Linked DNA regions of Struthio camelus. The protein of the gene in region 3 purifies or fractionates together with the protein of the main gene of each other region. This does not show direct contact. Links are inferred from orthologs where the notes say so. Each region holds a gene or a part of one and is shown on either strand. Other genes may lie near its edges. The genes, in order: C7H10orf88, gamma-tubulin complex component 3 and NEDD1.

The links.
Region 1: the proteins of NEDD1 (region 3) and C7H10orf88 purify together in Homo sapiens (co-immunoprecipitation; 3 studies listed by BioGRID and IntAct, counting the BioPlex papers as one, with this or other methods). This does not show direct contact. The link is inferred for Struthio camelus from reciprocal best matches to the Homo sapiens genes NEDD1 and C10orf88.
Region 2: the proteins of NEDD1 (region 3) and gamma-tubulin complex component 3 purify together in Homo sapiens (affinity purification with mass spectrometry; 3 studies listed by BioGRID and IntAct, with this or other methods). This does not show direct contact. The link is inferred for Struthio camelus from reciprocal best matches to the Homo sapiens genes NEDD1 and TUBGCP3.

Annotation. Positions count from the first base shown.
Region 1 is NC_090948.1:5,466,131-5,469,877, reverse strand, and holds the start of C7H10orf88 (ATPase PAAT), read right to left. Parts: upstream 2,573-3,747; coding exon 2,322-2,572; intron 2,183-2,321; coding exon 1,967-2,182; intron 1,437-1,966; coding exon 1,364-1,436; intron 844-1,363; coding exon 637-843; intron 1-636. UniProt on the Homo sapiens protein: ATPase that regulates mitochondrial ABC transporters ABCB7, ABCB8/MITOSUR and ABCB10. Regulates mitochondrial ferric concentration and heme biosynthesis and plays a role in the maintenance of mitochondrial homeostasis and cell survival.
Region 2 is NC_090942.1:157,254,741-157,258,487, reverse strand, and holds the start of gamma-tubulin complex component 3, read right to left. Parts: upstream 2,800-3,747; 5' UTR 2,489-2,799; coding exon 2,413-2,488; intron 1-2,412. UniProt on the Homo sapiens protein: Component of the gamma-tubulin ring complex (gTuRC) which mediates microtubule nucleation.
Region 3 is NC_090942.1:52,707,378-52,711,124, reverse strand, and holds the start of NEDD1 (protein NEDD1), read right to left. Parts: upstream 2,727-3,747; 5' UTR 2,621-2,726; intron 2,573-2,620; exon of another isoform or gene 2,448-2,572; intron 1,298-2,447; 5' UTR 1,290-1,297; coding exon 1,154-1,289; intron 1-1,153. UniProt on the Homo sapiens protein: Required for mitosis progression. Promotes the nucleation of microtubules from the spindle.

The DNA.
Region 1 (3,747 bases), on a different chromosome or scaffold from region 3:
TAGTTTTAATCTTGTCAGTCTCTAAGCACCAAAACAGTTTTCCTGACAGCAATTTTTTGAATCAAATTTTCATTATGCTACGGCCCCAAGACCGATCAGTTCTTTACATCAGGTGGATACAGGATTTTGTTGAAATAGCCCGCTTTGGAGGACTGGGATCTAAATCAAATAAAAGCCCTTTCAGGGTTTGTTTCCTTTATCTGAAAATCATGGGCCTTTATTAAAGACAGAAGAGACAGACAGACAAACTAGCCCATCCACCTGCACCCCGAACATAACAGGAAACACATCCACCATCCTTACCATGAAATGACAAGCACTGACAACTGAAAAAAACAGAAGGGAAAGCAAGGGAGGCAGGAGGATACAGTGACAGTGAAGTTTAAGATGATGATGATGATGCAAAGTTGTTAACTCGGGACTTGATCTATGCACGGTGATTTCCTTGGGTACACAATCATCATTCACGTTCACCTTTTTAAGCTTGGCAATAGCCAAACCAGGATTTAAATGGCAGAAAGTTTGGGTTAAAAAACAGCTTTTTCATCAAATCAGTTTAGAACATGCTCAATTATTACAGAAGACAAGGTCTCATATTAGCACTATTCGTGTTTACAGAAAAGCACAATGACTTACTTTCTGCTGAAATCGAACCATGTCCATGAGCTGCTGAGCACCTGGAGACAACTTTGACCCCATAGATTCCATTATAGTTTGCACTCTGTTTAGATCTATGCTTGATCCTAGTGAAGGAAAATCAGTTGCTAGTTTTGCAGACACTGCTTTCACTTGTACAATTATTTTACTGATGAGTACGCTTTGTTTTTCACCAATGGAGAGCAGCTATTGCAAGAAGGGAAAAAATATTTTGGTTAGGAAATAACTGTATTTTCGTCATTTGAGACAACGCACCACTCTGTGTGTTTATATACGCATATATATGGGGGTATTTTCTGGGGAAATTAAGCTCATTTTACCTTGCCATTACTGTTAGAAAACTGACTGGAACAGAAGATGCGTGCCACCAAGGATAAATTAAGCCTTGATCTTCTAAGCAGTTAAGAGGAGCAGTAGCCATATAGATTTTCATTAGGTTATTTAACTGCACAGAGTTAGCAGTGAATGAATCAGTTTGCAGTTCTGATCGACTGCTGACTAGCTACAATTTATCCAGTTTAAGAAGTTTTTTCACTAAGAGGATATTGTTTTCATACACACATACTAGGTCTTCTTAAGTAATTATGTGAAACAATTACTGTACGAAAATTGCAATAACTTGACTAACAGCAATACAAGAGAACTTTATTCAAAGAAGTGATTAAAAAGACAATGAAAGGTTAAATAATTCCATTGAAGTCCCTACCTTAATTCTACAGGAAGCTGTAGGGCATTCCAGCTTGAGATACTTTTTGTATAAAGTAACTTTTTCAGTTTCACTAGAAAAATAAAATAAATGGACTGTGACATCACTATATAAGGCACTTTTTGCTCTGTCATTTGTTGCAGAATTACAAAATACCACTAGTTATTCAGGTAAGAAACAAAAGTGACTGAAACATACTCTAACATAATACGGCCGTTTTAATGCTTGTATTCAACACGTACTGAACCTCGTGGGATGTGTGTGCAAAAAAAGGAAACACAGGATTTTTGTGTGTGCTTGACTTATCTACTACAGCAGCTTTCGAAGTCTGGTCCGTTATTGACACGGAAACTCCAAGCCGGTTGCTTCTCTTTGCCTAACAAGCAAAGAACTTATAACGCTTCATGACTTAACATAGCATGTTTTCGCTCAGCTTTTAGCTCCGGGGGCAAAGCGTGGAAGGCAATACCGAGGGGGAAAAACAAGCCTTTCCCGCTTTCTTTCTCTTTTCTCTGCCGTTCTCCAGCCGCAGAGATATAACCCCCTGGCCTCGCCTCGCCCACCACCGCCGCCGCGGAGCCCGCAGCGCAGGCCGCTACTCACCCGCGGGGCCGCAGGGCGCCCACGCTCCGGCCGCGGCCCGTGCCGCAGTACTCCTCGCCCACGTACACCTCCATGTGCCGCGCCTGGCTCACCACGGCCACGCACACCATCTCCTCGCAGCCCGGCGGCTCGCACTCCAGCCGCAGCACGCAGGCCGCGTCTTCCCCGCCGCCGGCAGGCCGCTCCGCCGCCACCACCGCCGCCTCCGCCTGGCTGCTGCGCAGGGAGCCCACAGAGCCGCGTGGCGCCACCAGGCCCGCCCCGGCCCGCCGGGCCGCGCCCCGCAAAGCGCGGCCGGAGGAGAGGAGAGGCCCGGCCCGGCCCCCCGCCCTCGCCTCGCCTCGCCTCACCTCACCTCACCTCCTCGTCGCCGTCCCCTCCGTCGCCGCGCCGCAGGCAGAGCGCGCGGGCCAGGCCGCCCGGCGGCGCGCAGGGCCACGAGCAACTCGCCGCCACGCGGCCCACGCCACACCGGGAGCCGCCGGCAAGGGCAAGGGCAGCGGCCGCCGCCGCCGCCGGGCAGCGGCTCGCCATCGCCACGGCCGCGCCGGCCGCCAGCCAGACGCCGCCGGGAGCGGCAGCGGAGCGGAGCGGCGGCAGGCGCATGCGCCAGGCCGGGGGGGGGGGGGGCTGTGCGCATGCGCGGTGAGGCGGCGCCCGGCGGCGGGTGTGTGTGAGGGGCGCGTGTGGCGGGAAGCGGGTGTCGCAGTGAACGGTAGATTTTGGACGAGCGTGATTTGGTCTCCCGTGCTGGGGGTGCTGGCAGTGTATCACTCAGAGAAGAGACTACAAGTATGAAATCAGTTTCATGTGCCTTTCAGTCGGATCCTAGTTCCTGGGGGGAGGAGTGAGAGTTTCTCCTCCCGCGGCGGCCGGGACGTGACTGTCGGGAGCAGCGGACTCGGGCGAGAAACTGGTTTATGTGGTTCACCGGCAGCCGGAGAAAAAATGAATATCTGCCAGGATCCCTTGTAAAGTTGAAAATCCCTGTGTTTTTAATTAAAAAAAATGGAGCAGGAAGACTGTGTTGCGTGGTTCTCCTGTTTGAGTTCCTAAAATGTGCTTGATGTTTCCAAAATGTGCTGTCAATTCGTCCAGTTTTGAAAACATTCATTTTTTAAATTTGATGGCAACGTGCTGCCTGGTGCTTCAGAGGGTTATTCTGCTCTTTGAGGAGTGATAAATTAAGACTTTCGATGGGAATTATCTTTAATGTACAATGGCCTGAGTAAAATCCCTGAGTTATATATGTTTATGGGATTTCCATGGTTTCATATGTATTTTTTACATATTTTTGAAGTAAATATAAAAAATAGAAAACAATGAGCTGGAATTACAAAGAGTAGATTTTTTTTATAGTAGGGTTTTTTTTTTTGGGAGCTGAAAATAGTCAGTATTAATTATCTTACGTTATTTGCTGGTAGCAATACTTTATGTTTCTTATCCCTTATAATCTTGCTGCATTATCAGTCTCAGTCTTTTAGAAGAAACCAGTTTGGTCCTGCCATGATTTGGCTGACTTTCTCCAACCAGCGTTTCAGAATGTGCTGCTTTTTGTTTGCATTAAGCTGTCTAACCAGTTTTTTTGCTTTTTTTTTTTTTTTTTGCCAAGCTCAAAGGGTGAAATTTTACTTCCCCTTTCCTCAGCAGAGGTGAAGTATCACTGTTTTTTCTATTGTTTGCCTTCTGGGCAGGTGGTTCTTGGTCTTCTGGTTCTTCTGTATGGAGAAACTAAGAGCCAGATACGCAGTGTTTGCTTGGATACTGTAGTAGTTTCTCCA
Region 2 (3,747 bases), about 100 Mb from region 3:
TGCATAAAGATATGGGTAATAGTAAACAGGGCAGACAACCCACCTTAATTTGAGGTCATCTTTGAAGTAACAATTTGAAAGTAACCCGCAAGTGATCAGAGGCAGTAGACTACAGGTGGCATGCAGCAACTTAGTACGATTATGGGTAACTTCCTACAAGCTTCCTCTTTCATCAGTCACACACACATGGGGTGGGGGGGGAAGGAGGGAACACTTTTAGTTACATGAGTGGAAGCCTAGCATATAGGAATAAGTTCAACGCTTATTAAAAAAAATTTCATGTCCTGCTTTTTTTGCAGGCTAGTGCATGCAAGCATATATGAGCTTGCAAATAAACTTATTACAACATTCAGAACGGAGAAAAACATATAGAAATTACAGCTCCAAAAGGAAGGCTAGATTCAAAGTCAGCAGAAATAGCCAGCCTCTCCTTAACACTCATGCCACAATTGATAAATGCAGGATACTTTTCTATTTCTATTCTTCTTCTCTGTTTAAGTTTTACAAATGTCACATACCTAACTAAAATGCTCTTTACCAACACAAACTTAGATCAATTCATACTGTAGTTCCCTACGTGTCTAAAAAAAGAGTCATCAAGAAAACAGGATTCAGCAACTCAACATTGACAACATAAGAACCTAACAGATGTCTCCACTGCTCTAATAATGCAGGTCAATTTCTCCCCCCTCCTTTTTTTTTTTTTTTTTTTTTTTAAAGGTGGGGGAATTAGCACAATAATTTGAATTTTCTTGTGAAAGTTTGAAGTGCTCTTGAATATAAAAATACTGTAATTGCATTAGAAAAATATTTCCAAGTTATTTCAAAGATGAGAAACAGCTTTAAAAGTAAGGTTCCAATAGCATCTTATAATTGTATGCTGATGTGAAATACCCTTTAATATATAATTAAGCGAGCTGCTAAAATAAACATATGGCTCCATAAAAACTGCAGGAGGTATTACACAGTTTAGAAGCTAGCATTACAAGCTGAAATATCATTTTTATTTTACTCAGGAGCAATTTGTAAAAGTGATTTTTGGAATCTGCTCTCTTATCAGAGGATATAAATAGTTCCTCACTGAAATTAAGGAAAGTACTCAAATCCTGTTGAAGGGGGTTGGTTGCAAAGTACGGAATAGCCCACATAAGACCGAAAAAAAGACATACTAACAGAAAGGGAACAGGATTTTAAGGCAAAAACAAACAAAAGAAAACAGTAACCAACATCTTAAAGGATGTTTCTGTGAAAGGGTCCCTATTCAACACTCCAGCGAAGGCAAGGAGATTCCAAACTCCTCCAAGCTTCTCAGCTCTCCAATAGATAGAGTGAAAAAATATGAAATAATAAGACAACAAATATATATACCTCTGCACCTTGTTGCTCATTTTCCAGACTTCAAAGACAACAGTAATTCATTCATAGGCCACATTTCAGTCAGACTGAACTAAGTTCTTTACAATAGGTCAGTACTCAAAATTATTACTGTTACTGTCATGCAGATTTCTAAAGGTAACCCCCAGTGACTTTTGGGAAAACAGTGGCAAGAGAAAAACACAAAAAAGACTTGGCAGCTAATACGAAATGTGGCTTTCTTCCATGTTCGTACGAGAAAATGGACAGAACACAAGGCAGGTCATAAATTTCTCTGGTGAGCAATGCTTATAAACAGCATTGCTATTTTTTCCGATAGCACTTAGAAAGGAGTCATAGCAGATGCACCTCCTCCTTTCCACCCTCCAACCGCCTGCTAAAAACAGAAGCTTTGCCTTGCTTGCAACAGACAGAAATTATGCAAACACCCCGAGATTCAACCTCTCGCTAGAACATCACAGCAAAAATACAGATGATCTAGGAGGTTTCATTCAGCTGCCACAGCAGTTACCAGACTCGAGGAGGCATCCGAGGAAGATGGAGGTTTATGAAGACATACATAAGCCACCCCTTGCTCCAGCCACCCAAGCAGCAGTGCCCCACTCCACAGCAGAGGGGAGCGCTGCCGGGGGAGGACACGGAGGTGTGACAAGCCCACCTCCCTGCCGCAGAGCGCCCAAGCAGCCCACAGCTCAGGCTTGGCGCGACCGCCCCCCATCCCCAGCCGGCGGCAGGGCCTCCCGGAGCCGCTCTCTCGGGCCGCCAGCGCGGAGCCGCCCGCCCGCCGGCGGGCGGGGGTCAGGCTGGGGATACGTACACGCTGCCCGCCGCGGGGGAAGGCCCTCGCCAGCCCGCTCGGCCAGGGCCGCCGCCTCCCTACCGCCAGGGCAGCGCGACCCTCCCCCGCCGCCTCGCCCGGCCGTTGCCGCCTCGCCCCGCTCCGCGCGCGCGGGGATGGGGGGCGGGGGGGGGAGGAAGGCTGCTCCGCGACCCAACGGCCGCCAAGGGGGGCGCGGCGGGGGGAGGGGGGGCCGTTACCTTCGCTCTTGCCCAGGATGCGGCAGCAGAGGTTCTGCAGCAAGACGTTGGGCGACTTCTGGTCCGGACTCGCCATCCTCGCCCGGGGGAGGGAGGCGGCGGGGAGGGAAGAGGAGAAGGAGGCAGGGGCGGGAGCGAGGAGAGACGCGGCGGGATAACAGGGGAGGGACAGGAGAAGAGGCTCCTCTCCTCTAACCGGCGCGCGACCCCGACGACACCTCCGATCACCCGGCCGTTACCTAAGGCGCCATTTTAACAGAACCCGCCGAAAGCCGCAGCGGCGGCAGCCGAGCGCCCACAATGCCCCTGCGCGCCGGGCGGCACCGGAGCGCGCCTCGCCGAACACGCTCCCCCGCGCCGCCCGCAGCCGCAGCGCCGAGGTTCCGGGCGCGCGCTCGGCCCCCGGCCCCCCTTGGGTCCGCCTGCCCCGGCGGTGCCGCCCTGGCCGTGGCCGTGGCCGTGGCCAAGCCACCCCCGGAGGCGTGCAGCGCAAGCCAACCCCGGCCGAAGGTGCCCCAAACACTGAAAATTCCCACCCTGCGACCACTTTCCACTTGTTGAAACTGTCCTTTCATCCCCCTCCCCAAACCGAAAGAGATCAAATCCTCTCGTTTCTGCCCCCAGAAGAGCAAGTCGCTCACGGCCTTGCTATCACGCTATAATTTACAGTGAAGTATAATTGACATTAACTTACTTTTTTTTTTTTTAAGCCTGGAAAAATATCAATGCATGTTGATAACCTTTCCACATAAAATTGTTACAAATCAATGCAGATCTGCAAAATACTTCAATATCTCAAATCGACATCTTCTCTACATTGCGCTGCCTTGTGGATGTGCAGCCCATGCATCCCGCTGAGGTCCCCAGTCTCCTGCTGTTGTGGTTGGCGTTGGAGAGTAAAGCGGTACCCCTGAGGTGTTTGCCACTCCTGAAGGATGAGATACCTGTCATCTGCCAACTATGCTGAAATCACTAAAGAAATCTCAATGTAAAAAGTACAATGTTTTTATTTTATGAAAACTTACAGCTTGGCAAATTGGTTACTATCATTTGGACACAGAGCTTATCATCAAACAATAACGTAACTTTTGTAATCAGGGGTGTGCTTCAGGCATTTTCCAGTCAGCAGGTTGCCTTATCAAGCTAGCTCTTGGGCTGTTTCAGGCAACATGCTCTTAACTGGGATCCAGACCTTTGACAAACCTGCTCCTCAAGTTTATCACTTCCCTGAAAGAGATACTGACTTTTGAGGATGCCTCTCCTTCATTTCTCGTATTCAGTCAATTCACGCTAGGTCCAGCTCAAATTCTATCACTAGGGAATAATTATTATCCC
Region 3 (3,747 bases):
TCTGTGCTTTCCTCGGGAACAAGAAAACTATGTCTGTCCCCTACAATGAATTAATCAAGTAATCATTCAGATCCACATGCCTTACACCTTTAGGCCAAAACCCATAATGATTTTGTATTTGCTTAATTAAGAATATAGGTTAATTGTTGGATTTAACACCACAAGAATTGGTAGGCCGCCGAGAGAGCGAGAGAGAGAGAGCGAGAGAGAGAGAGCGAGAGAGAGAGAGCGAGAGAGAGAGAGATATGCTTTTCTTCCCCCCCCCCCCCAACTATGCTTCAATTTCTTGGGAATTTCCAAGCTAAAATACCGATGTGTACTCCGACTATTGCAAATTTTTGCCTTCTCATTCATTCACTCACTTGCAGGCTTAGAGGATAGATGCATTCAGAACTTTTAGGGCATCATTTTTATTTGTCAGCAACCTGCCTTTCTTTTACATCAAGACCAGATATTGCTCTTTTTCCCATGACAGCCATATAACATCTATTCACCTGAAATTTCTCATATACTCATATCTACTTGGCACCACATATCATGATCCTGTAATAGGCCTCCAAGACAGAGGGCCAAACGTCTACATGGGCCAGATCCATTTCCCAGGACAAACCAATGCCATGGATGGATCCAACACATTTGTGTTTCCTCTGTAAATGCTGTAACCAGTAAACAGAAGACCAATGCTTAGACAGTAAGAAACTTAAGTATACTCTGTCAGACAGAGGCCATTTCTAACAGAATCAGTGAGAAACTGTTAAACAAAACAAAACAAAAAATTATTCTCTACATTAAATATAGAATTTTACTACATTAGCAATTTCTTTGTTGAACCTTATCAATAAACTAATTACTGCCTTGAATGTGAATTTTGTAATCAATCACTAAAGAAACAAATGAGTAAGATGTGCGGTTGACAGTCCTCCTAAAGGAGGACTAACATCTTCAGAAGCATCTACCAGCATGAGTTTATTTTGTGAAACTTAAATGCAGGCAACCACAAAAATTTCTTCACAGTATGTAAGAATCCTTTTATGCAAGGCTTTTCAAGATCAGATAAGACCTTTCATTTAGAGATAACTTAATAATAATAAAAAAAATGCACTGCAATTTTGCATAACTCCCATAAAACTATGGCTAAAGTAGTAAAGGATACTATTACTAGCCCAACACAGTGAGCTGACTGGATGTGCGGGTGTATGCGGGTTGAACTGCTCCACTACGGTTACAGATGAGGAATCCCATATTTTTATGTCATCTCCTGATGAAGCAAAACGTATGCTTTCTTGCATGGCTGCACCTATTTATGTAAAAATAAATAAAAATTAAGTAACAGTTCACTTTGCAAGTTAAGAAGAATTTCATCAATACCATTTTATACCGTTTTCTTGATAAGACAGATATTTATTTGGAGAGTTACGCAAGTAGCACCATTCAACTGAGCACACTGCTGAAAGCAGCAGACACTCCTCGCTTTAGTTACTTTAATTCTTGCAGGAAACATACGCGTTCCTTTTCACAAACAAAACATCAACCTCTCTGCACTACCAATACGTCTAAAATCCATGCAGTTAATAATCTACAAGCCTGGAACTCGAGCTGCTATCAGAAATGAAAACGATGTTTTACGTGCCCATATATCCGTAGAGTTTACGGATATCTAACACGAAGTCCTGAGTATTTCAAGGACTCACTTGTCAACAGCAGATGGAGCTATACAAGCTAGAATCAAACCGACTGTTGCAACAGGGAAACACTGGAAGTTAGGACCTAAAGGACTCCAGCGTCCCTCTCCCCATCCTACAGGAGAAGGTGGAGAATCTTTTAAACTAAACGTTCAACAGTAGAAGACGAGCGACAATGAATTACTTTTCAATGCAGCTTTCACAACGTAAACCGTACTACCATTTGTTTTGACAGTAGCCGTTTTTAGAGTTAAATCTGGAATTAGCTAGTCTGATTCTATAAAGTTTATTCTCAGCTTTTATTCTGGCTAATTTGAAACTCAGACAACAAGCGAGGCCCCAAAAGGCGAACCCTTCGTTGATTTCAAAGCATAATAACCCTTCAGTCAAAGGAGTTCTTGGGACGTTTCTGGACAGTTTCCGTTCCCTGATTCTCACAGCTCAAAACGCCTGAGACAAACCCGCGAAACTGAGGAAACCGAGCCAGGAAACTGGAGGTCCGCAGCTGCCTTGGCTCCGCCGCGGCCCAGGACATCAGGCGCGGAGCCGCTCCGCCACCCCACACTCCTCCTCACGACTCGCACCCCCCGGCCACGCTCCGCACGGGCAGCCCCGGAGGACAGGAGGGAGCGAGCGAGCGAGCGAAACGAGCCGCTCCGCGCACCGCCACGGCCGCCTGGCCCGGCCCGGCCCCGCCACCAGCGCTGCCCCAGCGCCCTCCTCGAGCGCTTGGGGTCGGCCGCCCGCCCCGCCCCTGCTGCCCACCTGGCCGGGCGGCAGCGGCCTGCAAGGCCGCCGCCGAGCCGAACCGAGCCGCGCCGAGCCGAGCCCCTTCGCCTCCCCTGCCGCCCCGGCCGAGCGCCGCCGCCGCCGCGGGGATGGGGCCCGGGCGCCGGCCTTCCCGATTGGCTCAGGCGCCCCTGCTCCCAGTTCTCTACCGGGTCCGTCAGGCACTCCCAGCCAATGAGTGCCGCCCCTCCCGGGCGCTCTCCCTCCCCAGCCGACTTTCCGCGCGGCATCCAAGTTAACAGCCCGTCCCAACAGCCTCCGCGCGCTTTCCCCTGCCCTATCCCCCGGCCGCTACGGTGGCCCGGAGGGGGCGAAGCGGTGGCGGAGTGCGCGAGCGAGCGCGCGCGCGCGCGGGCCGTTGTCGGCGGCCGTTGGCGGGGGCCCAACGTCTGAGAGGGGCGCGGAGCGCTGGGCCGCGGTGGCGCTGGGAGGCGTGGCGGGCGCCGGGCTGAGGCGGCGGCGGCGGCCGCCGCCCGCCCACCCGCTGTGGCCTTCAGGGGAAGCGGGCTCCCTTCTTGCCTTGGCGACGGCAGAGCCGGCAGCGGCACGGAGCCCCTGGCTGGGGACTGCTAAAGAAAGCTGGAACCAGCCACGTATTAACAAGTCCTTTGCTCCATGATGGGCCGATTTTGAGTGAAACCCGAATCCTGTACCTGCTGCGTTCAAATTGTGAACTTGGGAGGAGGGGATGTATAGGGCGGGGGGCACAGTGGGGTCCTTAACCTCTGCTGGGACAACAACATCACAAATATAAATAACAGTAATAAATACCTTCTAACTGGAAAAGTTCCTGATCTGAACCTGCCAAATGATGTCCACTTTTAATTACAGATGTTGTGCTCACAACATACCTATTGGGCATGTACCCCATTGCACACTTTCCATTTAATTCCAGTAACAGAATCTTTGTGGCTGTATCCTGACTTTGAATATAGCTACCAGTCCAGCCACACTGACTTCTATAGAAAGGTATTTTTCATATAGTAGAATAAAAGCTAGCAGTTCTGCAAATGATGTATTTTCACAGTCTTTGCTTTTTAAACCTAAGTAGAACAGCATTCAGTAAAAGATTGTCTTTAAAGGCTCTTAGACATGAAAACTGTAGTTAAACTAAATGATGCTACAGAGGTCTGGTTTCAAATGAATCTTTACCTTATAAATGGCTCCAAGCATTGCTAGATATGAAATTCCCCATTCACTCTCCATTTATGATGGAGTTTTGATTTACCAAGTTGTTTCACTTCTAGTCTACGTGAACTCAGCACTAGGAGAAAAA